4 linked regions of the Saccharomyces cerevisiae S288C genome follow. The gene in region 4 interacts genetically with the main gene of each other region. Each region holds a gene or a part of one and is shown on either strand. Other genes may lie near its edges.

Region 1 (4,259 bases), on a different chromosome or scaffold from region 4:
TACACACATTACCAGAATTATGCACAGTCTTTTTATACTACTCCCACAGTTTTTCAAGAAATTAAGGATGCTCAAGCAAGGAAAAACCTTGAAATTTGGCAGAGCCTCGGAACTTTGAAATTAGTACATCCAAGTGAAAACTCGATAGCCAAAGTAAGTACGTTCGCCAAATTGACCGGTGACTACTCCGTACTGAGTGCCAATGATTTGCATATTCTTGCTTTGACATACGAGTTAGAAATTAAACTAAATAATGGCGATTGGAGACTGAGGAAAAAACCAGGTGATGCATTAGATGCGTCCAAGGCTGACGTTGGTACGGACGGCAAACAGAAGCTCACAGAAGATAATAAAAAGGAGGAGGACTCTGAAAGTGTTCCAAAAAAAAAGAACAAGAGAAGAGGTGGAAAAAAGCAAAAGGCAAAAAGAGAAGCAAGAGAAGCAAGAGAAGCTGAAAATGCAAACCTTGAGCTAGAGAGTAAAGCTGAGGAACATGTTGAGGAGGCTGGATCCAAAGAGCAGATATGTAATGATGAAAATATAAAGGAATCTTCCGATTTAAATGAAGTATTCGAGGATGCTGATGATGATGGTGATTGGATTACCCCCGAGAACTTAACAGAAGCAATTATTAAGGATAGTGGTGAAGATACCACTGGTTCATTGGGTGTAGAAGCGTCCGAAGAGGATCGCCATGTCGCATTGAATCGACCAGAGAATCAGGTGGCATTGGCGACTGGCGATTTTGCCGTCCAAAATGTAGCGTTGCAGATGAATCTAAATCTAATGAATTTCATGTCAGGTCTGAAAATCAAGCGAATCCGTAATTATATGCTAAGATGCCACGCCTGTTTCAAAATATTTCCTCTACCAAAAGACGGCAAGCCAAAGCACTTCTGTGCCTCATGCGGTGGACAGGGTACCTTATTAAGATGCGCAGTTTCCGTTGACTCACGCACGGGGAACGTTACACCGCACTTGAAGTCGAACTTCCAATGGAACAATAGAGGAAACAGATATTCTGTAGCCAGCCCCTTATCTAAGAACTCCCAAAAAAGGTACGGCAAAAAGGGACACGTACATTCTAAACCACAGGAAAATGTGATTCTCAGAGAAGATCAAAAGGAGTACGAAAAGGTGATAAAGCAAGAAGAATGGACAAGAAGACACAACGAGAAGATTCTAAACAATTGGATTGGTGGCGGTTCTGCGGATAACTATATTTCTCCATTTGCAATTACTGGGTTGAAGCAGCATAACGTCCGCATTGGTAAGGGAAGGTACGTCAACAGTTCCAAAAGGAGAAGTTAGTGTTTTTCATAAATATCTGTGTAGTGTGTACTAGTTGGCAGCTGCCCTTTTTCTTTTTCTTTTTTTTTTTTTTTTTTTTTTTTTTTTCACGTGGTTTTTCTATGACGTTTTCCAAAACAAGCGTGTCATGTGAGCTTTTTTGCCCTTTAACTTTCTGGTTGGAGAGTCCAAAAGACCGAAAAGGTAAGAAAACGTTTTATTGCTCAGTATGCCCTCCCCTTATGAGATGAATGGTGTTACAGCACTTTGAAGAGGGCTCGTTTTGAGGACTTTTTGATCAGGATTAATACTAGATTGCCAAAAAAAGGATAGCCTTTTATAAGATTACTTTAGTTCAAAGAAGAGACCAGAAAGAGGAATACTGGCCATAATTATAGTGCAGAGACGCAATGACAAACAAATCTAGCCTGAAGAACAATAGGAAAGGGGTTGCTTCGAATACTCTCTCTGGAGCTGAGCAGGCCAATATAGGTTCATCGGCAATGCCTGACACAAATTCTACGGGACCATTTTCTTCCGTTTCTAGTCTGGACACTCCTGTAGTAAGGAAATCAACTAGTCCCACTGGTTCACAAACTAAGTCAATCATGAATGCTAGCGGAACTTCTGGGGCAGTTGTAAGTAATACACCAGAGCCAGGGTTAAAAAGGATACCAACTGTTACATTCAGCGATCCAAAGTTGGGTAGTCTCAGGTCGGATGTGGAGCAAACTCCACCTAACCAGGTGGCCAGACAGTCCAGCGAAAAGAAAGCAACGTCTGTACACATCGCAGCGGAGGGTGCAAATCAAGGAAGAAACTTGAAAGACATAAATACAAAAGTACCAAAAGATGGCGAGGCTTCTGCTTCTTCTTTTTCGACTCCAACCTCTATTCTCTCCAATGCTGATATGGGGAATAACATATCCAGCCTGCTGGCTAAAAAGCTAAGTTTCACCGGTGGAACAGATTCTATTTTAAACTCTGACAATAGTTCCGATAGCCCCAGAAAGGAGCACCCACATTTCTACGTGGAAGATCCTTTACACACCCCATCAGTTAGATCAAGGTCTAACAGTACTAGTCCTCGCCCCTCTGTGGTAGTGAATACATTTAACCCCATCAACATTGAACGAGAGGGCTCCATATCAAAGACTGGAGAGCCCACATTGTTGGAGTCTGTCTTGGAAGAAGCAATGTCTCCCAATGCAGTCTCAAATCCCTTGAAGAGAGAAAATATTATGACCAATATGGATCCAAGGCTTCCCCAAGATGACGGCAAGCTACACGTTCTTTTTGGGGCAACAGGTTCTTTGTCTGTTTTCAAACTCAAGCACATGATCAGAAAATTAGAAGAAATTTACGGAAGGGACAAAATATGCATACAAGTTATACTAACTAACTCAGCAACCAAATTTTTTGCAATGAAGTATATGAGGAAAAATAAGAAACAACACAATAGTATCGATACTTCTTTCAACAGCACCAATTCTAATGCTGGCAATATAACTGGTAACAAGAAAAAAGTAGCCTCTCTTGAAAAATTTAGCATTCAGAAGACGTCTTCAAACTCAGCGGCTTCTCAGACAAATAATAAACAGGAGGAAGAAAAACAAATGGCCTCTACTACTGGATTTCCTTCGACACTTGGTGGTAGTCGTACGTACAGCAACTCTTCAAACGTTGTATCGCAACATCCTCAAATTGAACTGCCAGCACATATACAATTTTGGACAGACCAAGACGAGTGGGATGTATGGCGACAACGAACTGATCCTGTATTACACATAGAACTACGTCGTTGGGCAGATATACTAGTTGTCGCACCATTAACCGCAAACACGTTGGCCAAGATTGCCCTTGGTTTATGTGACAACCTTTTGACAAGTGTAATAAGGGCATGGAATCCAACGTTTCCCATATTCCTAGCGCCTTCAATGGGTAGCGGTACGTTCAATTCCATAATGACTAAAAAACATTTTCGAATTATTCAAGAAGAGATGCCTTGGGTAACTGTATTTAAACCCTCAGAAAAAGTCATGGGCATAAACGGTGACATCGGGTTAAGTGGGATGATGGATGCAAATGAGATTGTTGGCAAGATAGTCGTCAAACTAGGTGGTTATCCCGATGTTTCTGCGGGAAAGGAAGAAGAAGAGGATGAAGATAACGATGAGGAGGATGATAATAAGAAGAACGATACTGGTGGTAAAGATGAAGATAATGACGACGACGACGATGACGATGATGATGATGACGATGATGACGACGACGACGACGACGACGACGACGACGACGACGACGATGATGATGATGACGACGATGATGACGACGATGATGACGACGACGACGACGACGATGAAGATGACGAAGACGAAGATGAAGACGATGAAGGAAAAAAGAAAGAAGATAAAGGAGGGCTACAGCGATCTTAAATAGGACTAATTTCATTATTGTAAAACTTTTGAACTATATATATCTTTACATAGAATAAATTTGCATTAATCACTGATAACCAGAAGAGAAGGCTAAAAATAGGCAAGTAGGACACTTAACTCATTTTCCAAAGGGAGTTTTATGTCTCATAGTTAGCGCTTACGATGCTGCGGAGGTGCGTCGTCACTCTATCGGATGTTCATTCTGAGGGAAAGGGAGTGGTTCAAATCCGATTTAACCTTGCCAGCTTATCGCAAAGCGGGTGAGATCAAATGCTCCACAGCTCTGCGGTTCGTTTCACCTTTCTGTTTTCTGCGAGCTTCGGCCCTGTCAGGGAAAAAAAGAAAGAAGGGGGCGGTGGCAAAGACTGCATCGGCCCAGAAGCAAAGAAGATATAAAAGGGAAATACTTGCCACCGAAGTCTTAGACTTTGCATAAGAGATATTCTCGCCTTTCCCGCTTGAAGAGTTCCTGACTCTATCATACATCTTGGATAAAAGGATCAAGCAGCCTATCCGCTAAACCGCTATTTA
Region 2 (3,352 bases), on a different chromosome or scaffold from region 4:
TCCCTAACCTTTTCGTCTTGAATTGTTTCTACTAGTAGAGTGTAAACCCCAAACAAAGTATAAGTTTCTTGAGTATCTTCTAGATTTGTAATCATTTGTGAAGAGTACCTATTAGGCAACTGCAAATGTAACACAATCAAACCTAATAAAATGTTTGCGTAAGCACTGCCTTTTGATATTATTTCTCTCAGGTAGTCAGAAGACCTCTCACTAGTTAGAACATTATAAAAGACAGTTATGACTTGAGATAAAGTATCGTTATTTATGGTGTGCCATCGAGGCGTTTCATATTCTGCGCTTTTTTGGCCCTTCTTGAAAGTATTTATTCTTTTCGAATCGAATGGAATTTTCATCGTAGGAGACAAATTAGCATCTATACCATGAATAATCAAAAGATTTATCAGTTCGTCTACGTATTTCATATCATGCAATGAGATAGGCAATAAGTCACTTTTACTTTCGATGAGCCTCCGTTGCTGTTCTAGTACGTGAATGTGCAAATTCTGGAATTTCTGTAAAAGTACTGCAACAAACTCATTGTTATTTGAGCACTTCAACGCCTGATAAATGGAAGAGGATGATGATGAGCCTGAATCAAGAACATATTCGTTTATGGGAGTAATTACATTGTCATCCAGATCTTCGAAGAAAACATCTAGGGCTGTCTTTTTGGTGAGCTTCGGTCTTGTATTCAATATATCGTGTATGTTGATCTTTTGCTCTTTATCCTCATTCATTTTCCAACCTTTTGTTTTTCTTGATCTGATATGACAAGAAGAAACATGAGGCGGTGATGAGCCCTTATTGCTATATGCTGTTCGACGCGATGAGATGATTACATGTTTTTTATTAAATTTCTCAAGCAGACTGCGGGTAACCTTGATTTTTAATTATTCAATAGGAATTCTTTTTTTTTTTAGAAAATAAAATGTTCTGCGTAGTGTACTTCTATTTATAAATATAATAATATTATTGATTAATTAGGCATCGCATTTTCAAAAATTTTTAAGAATGCGGGACACCAATTTGAGATTGTTGTGTCAGTAACCATCCAATGTTTAATGGTTTTCACGGCCATATTTTTGTCTTTTTCATTGAAAATCTGGGATAGTACTGTTTTGGTGTGCTCGTTTTGTAAAATCTTGGTAATGTTTGAATCTAATTTTTTCTTGTAAAATTCCAACTCCTTCGAAGAGAGCTTCGAGCCACACACACAGAGGTCGTTGATCTTAGCCACTAATTCTTCTTTACTGCATAATATCGGCTGGAGCTGTCTATCGCCTTGGTCTTTTACGAGCACACCTTCACAGGCAGATTCTTGTTGAGCAGCAGTTACAGATGGCCTCCTCAAAACTGGTGGCGGCGTAGTAGCTGTTTTAGTGTTCCCATAAAGATCTAACACTTCTGTGGCAAGTCTGCCGCTAACACATCTTTTCGATTTCGTTCTTTGTTTAGATTTGGATCTAGGTCCGCTATTAGGGTCGATAGAAAACAAAACTGTCGGACAGTCGTTATAACCAGGCACTTCAGCTTCTAGACAATTCTGAAAACTTTTGGTTGGTTTAATAGCCATCGTACGTAATAGTATGTGCGGAAATAGATTGACGAAGAACCGACAGATGCGCGTCTACTGAAGCTCTTATGAGTAGCCTGTGTGAATAAAGAAGCCAGCTAAAAGTAAATATGTGGCATCTTTATGTCTTACGAGCCGGGTACCAAGCGGCAGCAAAGGGTCCCCCCTAAACGACGTGCTTATCACCCGGCCGTTGTTTACGAAATGGCCTTTTTTGACGTTTTTAGTTTCAATGGATGGATGAAAAAAGCAAGTAAAATGACAAATAAATGCTGTTGGCAGGTTAAATCGTTTAATATACCCATAAGAGAGCTGGAATAGTGTGGAATTGTAATACTTTACATTTGAAAACTGCCCATACACGCACAAATATTGCAGCAATGAGCAACGCTAATCCTTATGAGAATAACAATCCGTACGCTGAAAACTATGAAATGCAAGAGGACTTGAACAATGCTCCTACTGGTCACTCAGATGGTAGCGACGATTTCGTAGCTTTTATGAACAAGATCAACTCAATAAATGCTAACTTGTCCAGGTACGAAAACATTATCAACCAAATTGATGCGCAACACAAAGACCTACTTACTCAAGTGAGTGAGGAACAGGAGATGGAATTGAGACGTTCTTTGGACGATTACATCTCTCAGGCCACAGATTTGCAGTATCAATTGAAAGCGGATATCAAAGATGCCCAGAGAGACGGATTGCACGACTCTAATAAACAGGCACAAGCTGAAAATTGCAGACAGAAATTCTTAAAATTAATTCAAGACTACAGAATTATCGATTCTAACTACAAAGAAGAAAGCAAAGAGCAGGCGAAGAGACAGTACACAATTATCCAACCGGAAGCCACTGACGAAGAAGTGGAAGCCGCCATCAACGATGTCAATGGCCAGCAGATCTTTTCCCAAGCGTTGCTAAACGCCAATAGACGTGGTGAGGCCAAGACAGCATTGGCCGAAGTACAGGCTAGACATCAAGAGTTGTTGAAGTTGGAAAAAACAATGGCTGAACTTACCCAATTGTTCAATGACATGGAAGAGTTGGTCATCGAACAACAAGAAAATGTGGATGTCATTGACAAAAACGTCGAAGACGCTCAGCAAGATGTAGAGCAAGGTGTGGGTCACACCAACAAGGCCGTTAAGAGTGCCAGAAAAGCAAGAAAAAACAAAATAAGATGTTTGATCATCTGCTTTATTATCTTTGCTATTGTTGTTGTCGTTGTGGTTGTTCCATCCGTTGTGGAAACAAGAAAGTAATAGAGCACATGCGCCTCCCTCCCGCCAGCCCCCCAATTCCTATTATGTGTAATCAAACAATTTCTATTAAAACCGAAAACCTAAAAATTGTAACGTCTTTTCTCTTTCCTACTATACCCTCCTCATACCTGCCTTTTTAACAATTAGTATTATAATTTTTTTTTTTCACAAAAAGACAATACCGACTATCTAATAAATAATTTTAATACGTATGTAATTTCGTTAAGAACAAGAATTTTTAAGTAAAAAATCTTACTTTTAAGAAAAACTGTCGCCCTTAATATTAGTCCCAATTTTGTAACGAAAAATAAAATACAAATCGGGGTGGAAAAAGGGAAATTTTACAACATTATTATTCCAAAAACTAGTTTTCAAAAAGTAAATCGTGGGGGTATGAACAACAATTGTTGTAGTCGCAACTACGGTAATTGGTCCTAAAAAATTATTCTCCGGGAAAAAAAGAAGAAACAAAGAGATCCCGAAACATAAGTCCCGTGATTCTTTTTGCCCC
Region 3 (4,196 bases), on a different chromosome or scaffold from region 4:
GATGGTTCCATCGTACTGACACTGGAAGATGTATACTGTGACTGTTGTTGTGGTTCCAAGGAGTCCATAACTCTATTCTGTGATGCCCGCAATCTGTTAAACAAAAACAAATCTTCTTCATTTGTAACCCGTTGATCTTCGCCTCTTGGAGAAGGCGCTTTTCCCATATCCAAGGGCATCTCTATGGGCTTCTCTTGAAGAGAGGGACTGCGTGAAGCTGCTGCCGTTGATGTTGCAGCCGCTGTATCAGATTGCAGATCTGTTTCTAATGGATGAAATTTCGCATCCGTTTCGTCTGCTGACATGGCGTTCTTGTTCCTCTTCCAAAAAGAAATGCTTTTCCAAATACAGATGCGATTAGTAAATCAAATTATAAACGACAGTGAGTTGCCCTTTTGCAAGTACCTTCAACACAAACACTTTATTTATTCATCGAGGTCCCCTTGTAAGGGAGAATTAATGTTACGATACAAGAAGTTTTCCGGGTAAGATTGCTAAATAACGAATTTGATGGTTACATACAATGAATTATTTACATATACAAGCTAACGATTAAAGGATATTTACATGACTGGTTGGCTTGGCTTCCGTGCCACACGGTAGAGTTCAAATAGGGCTGCCGCAGTGATACCTTGAATCCGTCTTGCTTGGCCTATGGTCAATGGCTGTACGCGGTTCAAGAGTAGTTTGCATTCAGTGGAAAGCGTGGGTAACTGACGGTAATCGTAATCTTGCGGCAACAGCATATTTTCGTCTGCCTGAAATGCCTTCACAAACTGGTTCTGTTTGACAATGTAAGGTTCGTATTTACCTTGAATGTTAATTTTGGTGACAACATGCATTGGGATGTCCAGCAAATTAATGGGTAAATCGGGAATGCACTCGTAGAGTTTATGTAGATCCATATCTTTGAATCTGAATATTTCCCAAGCAGATCTGTTTTCAGCCTGTGGCGCGATATTAGCCTGTAGTAAGCTAGACCATTTTTGAGAGCTTAGCTTGAAATTTTGAAGCGCCCGTATTGTTTCATCATATAGGTGCTTGTCTCTTGAATATTGACTTAAACGGACAGGAGATATAATCCCTAGTTGAGCACCAATGGGCGTCAGTCTGAAGTCTGCGTTATCGGCTCTTACGCTGATTCTGAATTCTGATCTGGAAGTAAACATTCTATATGGTTCTATGACGCCATTATTGATTAGATCGTCAATGAGCACACCAATGTACGCTTCGGACCTTTTCAAGACCAATTGCTCCCGTTCTTGGCGCGATAGTAATCCTGCATTGATACCTGCAATGATCCCCTGTGCAGCGGCTTCCTCGTAGCCTGTAGTACCATTTATTTGTCCGGCCAAGAATAGTCCATCCACCAATTTTGTTTCCAAGCTAGGCTTTAATTGCCGTGGGTCTACGTAGTCGTATTCCACGCCGTATGCCGGCTGCAAGATCTCAACGTTTGCCATGCCCGGGATGAGCCTCATCATTTGTAACTGGACATCCTCAGGCATAGAATTGGATATCCCGTTCGGATAAATGACGTCGGAGTTGAAACCTTCTGGTTCCAACCATATCTTATGGGAAGATCTATCAGGAAACCTTAGAATCTTAGCTTCGATGGAGGGACAATAGCGGGGGCCTTTGATGGTCGTGTCCTGAATATGAATGGATTGATGCAAGTTATTGCGCAAAAAGTCGTGCATTTGAGGTGTGGTATGTGTGCCAAAGCAATCCAGTTGCTTCGTGGGTTCGACTGACACGGTTTCATTCAGAAAACTCATAGGGACAGGCAACGCATCTCCCTTCTGGACCTCCAGAGCGCTGAAATCAATGGATTCCTTGGCCAGCCTAGCCGGAGTGCCTGTTTTCAAACGCCCTAACTGAAAGCCCACCTCATTTTGTAGAGTATTGCTGATCCCATATGTTGGCTGCTCGCCAATTCTTCCTGCTGCAATACGCTTGTCGCCGATGTGAATTTCTGCACTGAGAAACGTACCTGTAGTGATTATGACCTGATCTGCCCCAACCTGGGTACCGTCATCCAGAACCACACCTTTGATGACCTTGTGGCCACATCCGGGGTCATACAAGATCAAGTCAGCAACTTTGTTCTGCAGCAGAGACAAGTTGGGGTGTGCTTTCTTGTCGGAAAGTTCCCTTTGCATGTATTTCTTATATAACTCTCTGTCTATCTGGGCTCTGGGCCCCCACACAGCAGGACCCTTGCTTCTGTTCAGCATTTTGAATTGCACTCCAGCGAGATCAGTTACTTTGCCCATCAGCCCATCGAGAGCGTCGATTTCCTTTACAAGGATGCCCTTACCCACTCCACCAATAGAGGGGTTGCACGAACACTTACCAATATCTGTTAACGATGGTGTAATGAGAGTAGTATGCGCACCAGTCCTAGATGACGCAGCTGCAGCTTCGCAGCCTGCATGTCCAGCACCGATGACCACGACCTGTGTCTTGGTTGTGGGTTGGAAGCTTGTCAAAGAAGATATGGTCAACCGCCTCCTGAGGACCTGTAAGGGAAATGAAGTACACGAAGACGCCAAGGTTGTTACACGCAGCATCGTTCTTTGGGGCGTTTAGCTGGTATTCTGCAGAAACTATTGGATGCCCTCAAGATTTAAGTGAAGAATTAAACCGCACTTATCCGTCTGTGAAAGATGCCACCATACGTTACCAACCATAAAGAAAGTGGCCGCACACAGGTACCTTAGAGAAGCCACAAGGGCTCGATTACACGGTGGCGATCAAGAGCCATACAAAAGTAGAAGACCCCCGGATGAAGAAGCACCTCTTTGTACGTTCCTTCTGCAACGCCATATCTAAGTAACAAGAAAGAAGCCACAGCATTACTACAACCCCACACAGGGACAGACAGATATCATAAACTTGAATCTACTATATCATACTCTAATAACTACCTAAGCGTTAAGAAATCGTCTAATCTTCAACTGCCGTTGTTCATACCGTGACTAATAGTGGCAGTAAGCAGCTTTTTTTTTTTTTCAAAATTTTTCATTTTTTTTTTCAGTTGACTCGCCCCGTCGGTAGTGACAAGTGCCGACTGACTCGTGTCCTGGTAATAACAGCAATAATGAATATGCGATGGGCTTGAACTTGGTATTTAAACTATGTTCAGAGGCAAGTGCAACCGCTGTTAACCGTCCCAGGAGCTACCACTAGTAGCGCAGTTATTTCTTATTACTTTCTTAATCATAGCTTAAGAGAACCATTCTCCCTCCCCTCACAATGCTCAACATTCTCGTTTTAGGAAACGGTGCAAGAGAACACGTTCTTGTCACCAAGCTGGCTCAGTCACCCACCGTGGGTAAGATCTATGTCGCTCCAGGTAATGGAGGGACCGCAACCATGGATCCTTCGCGTGTGATAAACTGGGATATTACGCCAGATGTCGCCAATTTTGCTCGTTTGCAGTCGATGGCTGTGGAACATAAGATCAACTTGGTCGTTCCTGGTCCAGAATTACCTCTAGTCAACGGCATCACCTCCGTGTTCCATAGCGTTGGTATTCCCGTTTTTGGACCTTCCGTCAAAGCCGCTCAGTTGGAAGCTTCCAAGGCTTTCTCCAAGAGATTTATGTCAAAACACAATATTCCAACCGCGTCTTATGATGTCTTCACTAATCCAGAAGAAGCCATTTCATTCTTGCAAGCTCATACTGACAAAGCTTTTGTCATCAAGGCCGACGGGATCGCTGCTGGGAAAGGTGTTATTATCCCATCTAGCATCGACGAGTCCGTCCAAGCTATCAAGGACATAATGGTCACCAAGCAATTCGGTGAAGAAGCGGGCAAGCAGGTTGTGATAGAACAATTCTTGGAAGGTGATGAAATCTCTCTACTCACCATTGTTGACGGGTACTCTCACTTCAATCTCCCCGTCGCACAAGATCACAAGAGGATCTTTGATGGCGACAAGGGCTTGAACACCGGTGGGATGGGTGCCTATGCCCCCGCTCCTGTGGCCACACCATCTTTGTTGAAGACCATAGATTCACAGATTGTGAAGCCTACGATTGATGGGATGAGACGTGATGGTATGCCCTTTGTTGGTGTGCTGTTCACCGGGATGATTTTGGTGAAGGATTCTAAGACAAATCAACTTGTTCCCGAAGTGTTAGAATATAATGTCAGATTCGGTGACCCAGAGACACAGGCTGTTTTGAG
Region 4 (5,035 bases):
CCATTTCTCTCGTGGCCAACGATTGGTATTTGTGACCAGACTTATAATCATAAAAGGAAAGCACACCATTGTCACCGCCAGCGAATAATACATCATCTTGATTAATGCTTAAAGTATTGATTATGCCTGTCTTTTCAGACTCAAAATTGGTGAGTAAAGACCCCTCTGCTAATCCCCATGATCTGATGTCATCAGTACACGCAGAAGCCACCGAAAACTCCTTAGGATGCAACGCTGTAGCTCTCACAGACCTCTTATGATGTGTTAGAACTTTCATTGTTTTCCCAGCAACTACATCCCATAACCTTACCGTAGCATCAGTCGATGAACTCACCACTTGAGGGTCTACTGGAGTACACTGTACTTGATTGATTGGACCCTTATGCCCAACTAGTGTAATAACAGGTATTCTGGTTCTCATATCCCAGAGTTTGATAACGCTATCTCGGCCTGCGGTAGCTATGAGATCCAGCGTTGGATGTATGCTCACCGTACGAACCCCCGATAAATGTCCATAGTAATCTCTAATAATTTGGTTTTTCTCTAGGTCCCAGCATTTGACCGTCTTATCTTCACTAACAGAAAATAAATAAGGATGTCGATCTGACACAGCAACGTCTCTCACTGTCATTACATGCCCTGCTAAGGTAGTTTTTAATTTTCCTGTTGCAAGATCCCAAACTTTCATTGTCGTATCATTACTTCCGGTGATGAACCATTCGTTGTCAACAGGATCGATTGCAACGCATCGTACCCATCCAAGATGGCCATTGATAACGCGTGAAAGTTTCCAGGGTGCATGCCATTCCGGCCTTTGTGACAGAAGTTTTTCGTATCGATTAACTATAAGTTCTTCAGCAACCTCTGGTTGGAAAATTTTATTCACAAAAGCAGATGCATGCGTATCGTGATCTTTCTTGCTAATCACTGCTTGTGATGCTTCTGAAAAATCTGTAGGAACATGCTGCAGAGTAACTTTCTTGCCTTCACCACTAAAAGAAGAACTTTCCTTCCTATAAGTATCATATCGCATTAGCAATGATTTCTGACCTTCCATTTCGCTTTGTAGGTGGGGCGGCAGAGTGGCCATATATGAAAATTGGTTATTCCAGCGTATTCTGGAATAAAATTTGTCTACATCTCCTAAATTTTCGACTTTGTGATCATTTCCGTCCATTCTCACTAATCTCCATGTAACACAGTGTCTGCATCCTCGGAAATGGTTTTAAGATGCAATGAAGTGGGTAATAATTACTGTTAGCTTCACATCTTGAATAATCTTTTATTGCCAAAATTGTAGCTTTTCCGTATTAGATGATGAAGAATTTTGAGCACCCTTACTTAATAAAAGAGTTGTTGAACTCGAAATAGGAATACGAGATGAGGAGTAATTCTCTGAAAGTAGATAGCTCCTCTTGTCACATTGAATGCTACTTTATTGTGACTATAGGTGATTTAAGCGAACGAATGTTCTTAGGTCATCGTGGATTTGTGTGGTGATTTTCGGCTTATCTTAACAATGTTGACCGCGTGGACCCTCCCAATCTTGACAACAGAACACTTATCAATAACGGTATACAATAAATATCTTGTATGAATTAAATAAAGTAACGTTTTTTCCCTCATATCATTCCGAATCATTACGAAAATTCCAATACCTGTATTTTGAAGTCAACAAGAGTTTCGTTATCCGAATACTATTTTTTGTATCAATAAATTTTGTTTCGTTTTTCATTAATAACTAGTCACTGTGTAGTGGAAGCAAGTTCTCCTTATCCGTTGCCAAGAGACAATAAAAGACCCACATATAGGTGAATATACTGCTCACCATGGTTAATCCTGTTGGATCCTCGAAATTGGAACAAAACAATATAAAAAGCATTATAGGATCATCGTACAATCGACTATACAGCCAATTTACTTCTGATGAGTTGACAGAAGTGGGAAACTACAAGATTTTAAAACAAATAGGTGAAGGAAGTTTTGGAAAAGTATATTTAGCGCTCCATAGACCAACACATCGTAAAGTCTGCCTAAAGACGAGTGATAAGAATGATCCCAATATCGTTAGAGAGGTATTTTACCATAGACAGTTCGATTTTCCTTATATTACAAAGCTTTATGAAGTGATAGTGACAGAATCAAAAGTGTGGATGGCATTAGAATATTGCCCAGGGAAGGAATTATATGACCACTTACTTTCTCTGCGTAGAATATCGTTATTGGAATGCGGAGAGTTGTTTGCACAAATTTCAGGTGCTGTTTACTATGCACACTCAATGCATTGTGTTCATAGAGATTTGAAGTTAGAGAATATTTTATTAGACAAAAATGGAAATGCAAAATTGACGGATTTTGGTTTTACGAGAGAATGTATGACAAAGACGACATTAGAAACGGTTTGCGGTACCACAGTTTATATGGCACCTGAATTGATAGAAAGAAGGACTTATGATGGATTCAAGATTGATATATGGTCATTGGGAGTGATACTATACACATTAATTACGGGATATTTGCCATTTGATGATGACGATGAGGCTAAAACGAAATGGAAAATCGTCAATGAAGAACCGAAATACGATGCTAAAGTTATTCCGGACGATGCTAGGGATTTGATCTCACGATTATTGGCTAAAAATCCGGGAGAGCGCCCATCGTTGTCACAAGTTTTACGCCACCCTTTTTTACAGCCTTACGGTTCAGTGGTTTTAGATCAGACTCAGAAAATTTTGTGCAGACAGCGCAGTGGAGGGACTCAGTTTAAAAGTAAATTAGAAAGGCGATTGCTGAAGCGTCTTAAACAATCAGGGGTTGATACGCAAGCAATAAAACAATCAATTTTGAAAAAAAAGTGCGATTCACTCTCGGGTCTATGGTTATTGTTGTTAGCCCAAGGGAAAAAGCAAGAAAATTGCAAATATCCAAAAAGAAGCAGGTCCGTTTTATCAGTCAAAAAAGTTATTGAAAGTGCTACGCATAACGACACTAATGGCATTAGCGAAGATGTTTTGAAACCCTCACTTGAACTTTCTAGAGCTGCTTCATTGAGTAAAATGCTCAATAAAGGCTCAGATTTTGTAACATCGATGACTCCGGTTAGCAGAAAGAAGTCTAAAGATTCAGCAAAAGTTCTGAATCCTACTCTCTCTAAAATATCCTCACAAAGGGCTTATAGTCACTCTATTGCAGGTTCTCCTCGCAAGTCCAATAATTTCTTACAAAAAGTTTCTAGTTTTTTCAAGTCAAAAAAAAGCTCTAACAGCAATAGCAACAATAGTATTCACACAAATGTTAGTGAAAGCTTGATTGCAAGCAATAGAGGAGCCCCATCTTCAGGGTCGTTTCTCAAAAAAAACAGTGGTTCTATTCAGAAATCAAGAACTGACACTGTTGCAAATCCTTCAAGGACGGAGTCTATAGGATCGTTAAACGAAAATGTTGCCGGTGCCATTGTGCCACGGAGTGCTAATAATACTACATTAGAAAATAAGAAAACTTCTGGGAATGAAATAGGCTTAAAAGTAGCTCCAGAACTATTATTAAATGAACATATCCGAATAGAGGAACCTCGCCTCAAGCGCTTCAAATCGTCCATATCAAGTGAAATATCTCAAACTTCTACTGGTAATTATGATAGCGAATCTGCGGAAAATTCTAGGTCTATATCTTTTGATGGAAAAGTTTCCCCGCCACCGATACGAAATCGGCCATTGTCAGAGATATCGCAAATTTCTAATGACACTTATATATCAGAGTACTCCACTGATGGTAATAATTCGTCATTCAAAATTTCAGACACTATCAAGCCGAGCTATATACGAAAAGGCTCTGAAACTACCTCGCAGTATTCAGCTTCATCCGAAAAAATGACAAATGGCTACGGTAGAAAATTTGTCAGGAGGGATTTAAGCATTGTATCGACTGCGTCGAGCACCTCTGAAAGAAGTTCAAGAACAGATTCCTTTTACGATATCACTACAGCTACACCAGTTGTGACCACTGATAATAGGCGCAATAAAAACAATAATCTGAAAGAGTCTGTTTTGCCCAGATTTGGGACTCAAAGGCCATGGACTGGCAAAAGGACGTATACCACGTCCCGCCATGGCAAGAATGCTAGGCGTTCGTCTAAAAGAGGTCTGTTCAAAATAACTTCTTCAAATACAGACTCTATTATTCAAGAAGTAAGCTCATCAGAAGAAGAAGATCATAATGTTATCTATAGCAAGGGAAAGGGTCTTCCAACACCAGTTTTGCAAACTAAAGGATTAATAGAAAATGGGTTGAACGAACGCGATGAAGAAGGAGATGACGAGTATGCAATTCACACTGACGGAGAATTTTCTATCAAACCGCAGTTTTCCGATGACGTTATCGACAAACAGAATCATTTGCCCAGCGTGAAGGCTGTGGCAACTAAACGTTCGTTGAGCGAAGGAAGTAATTGGTCTAGTAGCTATTTGGATTCGGACAATAATCGGCGAAGGGTATCTTCATTGCTAGTAGAGGATGGGGGGAATCCTACAGCGTAGGTACCGGATAACAGAGTAACTGGTAAAAACGGCAAAAAATACTGTAAGGAAGTTGTCTATATATGTACATATGGATATTGCGGTATAATAAAAAAGCTTTAAAATTATAAAGAAACCCGACTTTTATCACATATAATTATATTATAAAAAAATAATGGCATCTGTATGAACTCGCGATTAAGCTCACTTTTTTCTAATGATCGAAGTTTTGTCCGGTTATCCAACTGTGGCAAGAACATCGCGAGGCGGAGCTAAACACAGAATTTTTGTAGCGCGATGAGAAACATAACGCCTCTTTAGATAAATTATCATCACCTTTTTTACACTAAATAATGAAGTAGCATGCTCAGAAGTGCGAATGAATTTTTGTTCTTTTGGTTCTAGAAGAACGGAGATAGGAAACCTATGATGTAAGTATGAATGACATTAAACAATTACTTTGGAATGGTGAGCTTAATGTGCTGGTATCGATCGATCCTTCATTTTTGATGAAAGGAAGT

The links.
Region 1: mutations in YPL150W (region 4) and VHS3 together harm fitness more than expected from each alone (negative genetic interaction), as found in Saccharomyces cerevisiae (3 studies listed by BioGRID).
Region 2: mutations in YPL150W (region 4) and SSO2 together harm fitness more than expected from each alone (negative genetic interaction), as found in Saccharomyces cerevisiae (3 studies listed by BioGRID).
Region 3: mutations in YPL150W (region 4) and MTO1 together harm fitness more than expected from each alone (negative genetic interaction), as found in Saccharomyces cerevisiae (3 studies listed by BioGRID).

Annotation. Positions count from the first base shown.
Region 1 is NC_001147.6:427,299-431,557, reverse strand, and holds VHS3 (phosphopantothenoylcysteine decarboxylase complex subunit VHS3), read left to right. Parts: upstream 1-1,700; coding exon 1,701-3,725; downstream 3,726-4,259. Other genes in the region: NOB1 (rRNA-binding endoribonuclease), read left to right, coding at 1-1,311. UniProt on the Saccharomyces cerevisiae protein: Component of the phosphopantothenoylcysteine decarboxylase (PPCDC) involved in the coenzyme A synthesis. Acts as an inhibitory subunit of protein phosphatase PPZ1, which is involved in many cellular processes such as G1-S transition or salt tolerance.
Region 2 is NC_001145.3:626,410-629,761, reverse strand, and holds SSO2 (syntaxin), read left to right. Parts: upstream 1-1,953; coding exon 1,954-2,841; downstream 2,842-3,352. Other genes in the region: RTP1 (Rtp1p), read right to left, coding at 1-737; ADD37 (Add37p), read right to left, coding at 977-1,573. UniProt on the Saccharomyces cerevisiae protein: Required for vesicle fusion with the plasma membrane.
Region 3 is NC_001139.9:53,224-57,419, forward strand, and holds MTO1 (tRNA modification protein MTO1), read right to left. Parts: upstream 2,574-4,196; coding exon 564-2,573; downstream 1-563. Other genes in the region: transcription activator HAP2, read right to left, coding at 1-305; YGL235W (uncharacterized protein), read left to right, coding at 2,056-2,592; ADE57 (bifunctional aminoimidazole ribotide synthase/glycinamide ribotide synthase), read left to right, coding at 3,259-4,196. UniProt on the Saccharomyces cerevisiae protein: Component of the MSS1-MTO1 complex that catalyzes the 5-carboxymethylaminomethyluridine (cmnm(5)U) modification at the 34th wobble position (U34) of mitochondrial tRNAs.
Region 4 is NC_001148.4:266,359-271,393, forward strand, and holds YPL150W (non-specific serine/threonine protein kinase), read left to right. Parts: upstream 1-1,829; coding exon 1,830-4,535; downstream 4,536-5,035. Other genes in the region: mRNA splicing protein PRP46, read right to left, coding at 1-1,177; ATG5 (Atg5p), read left to right, coding at 4,952-5,035. UniProt on the Saccharomyces cerevisiae protein: Putative serine/threonine-protein kinase.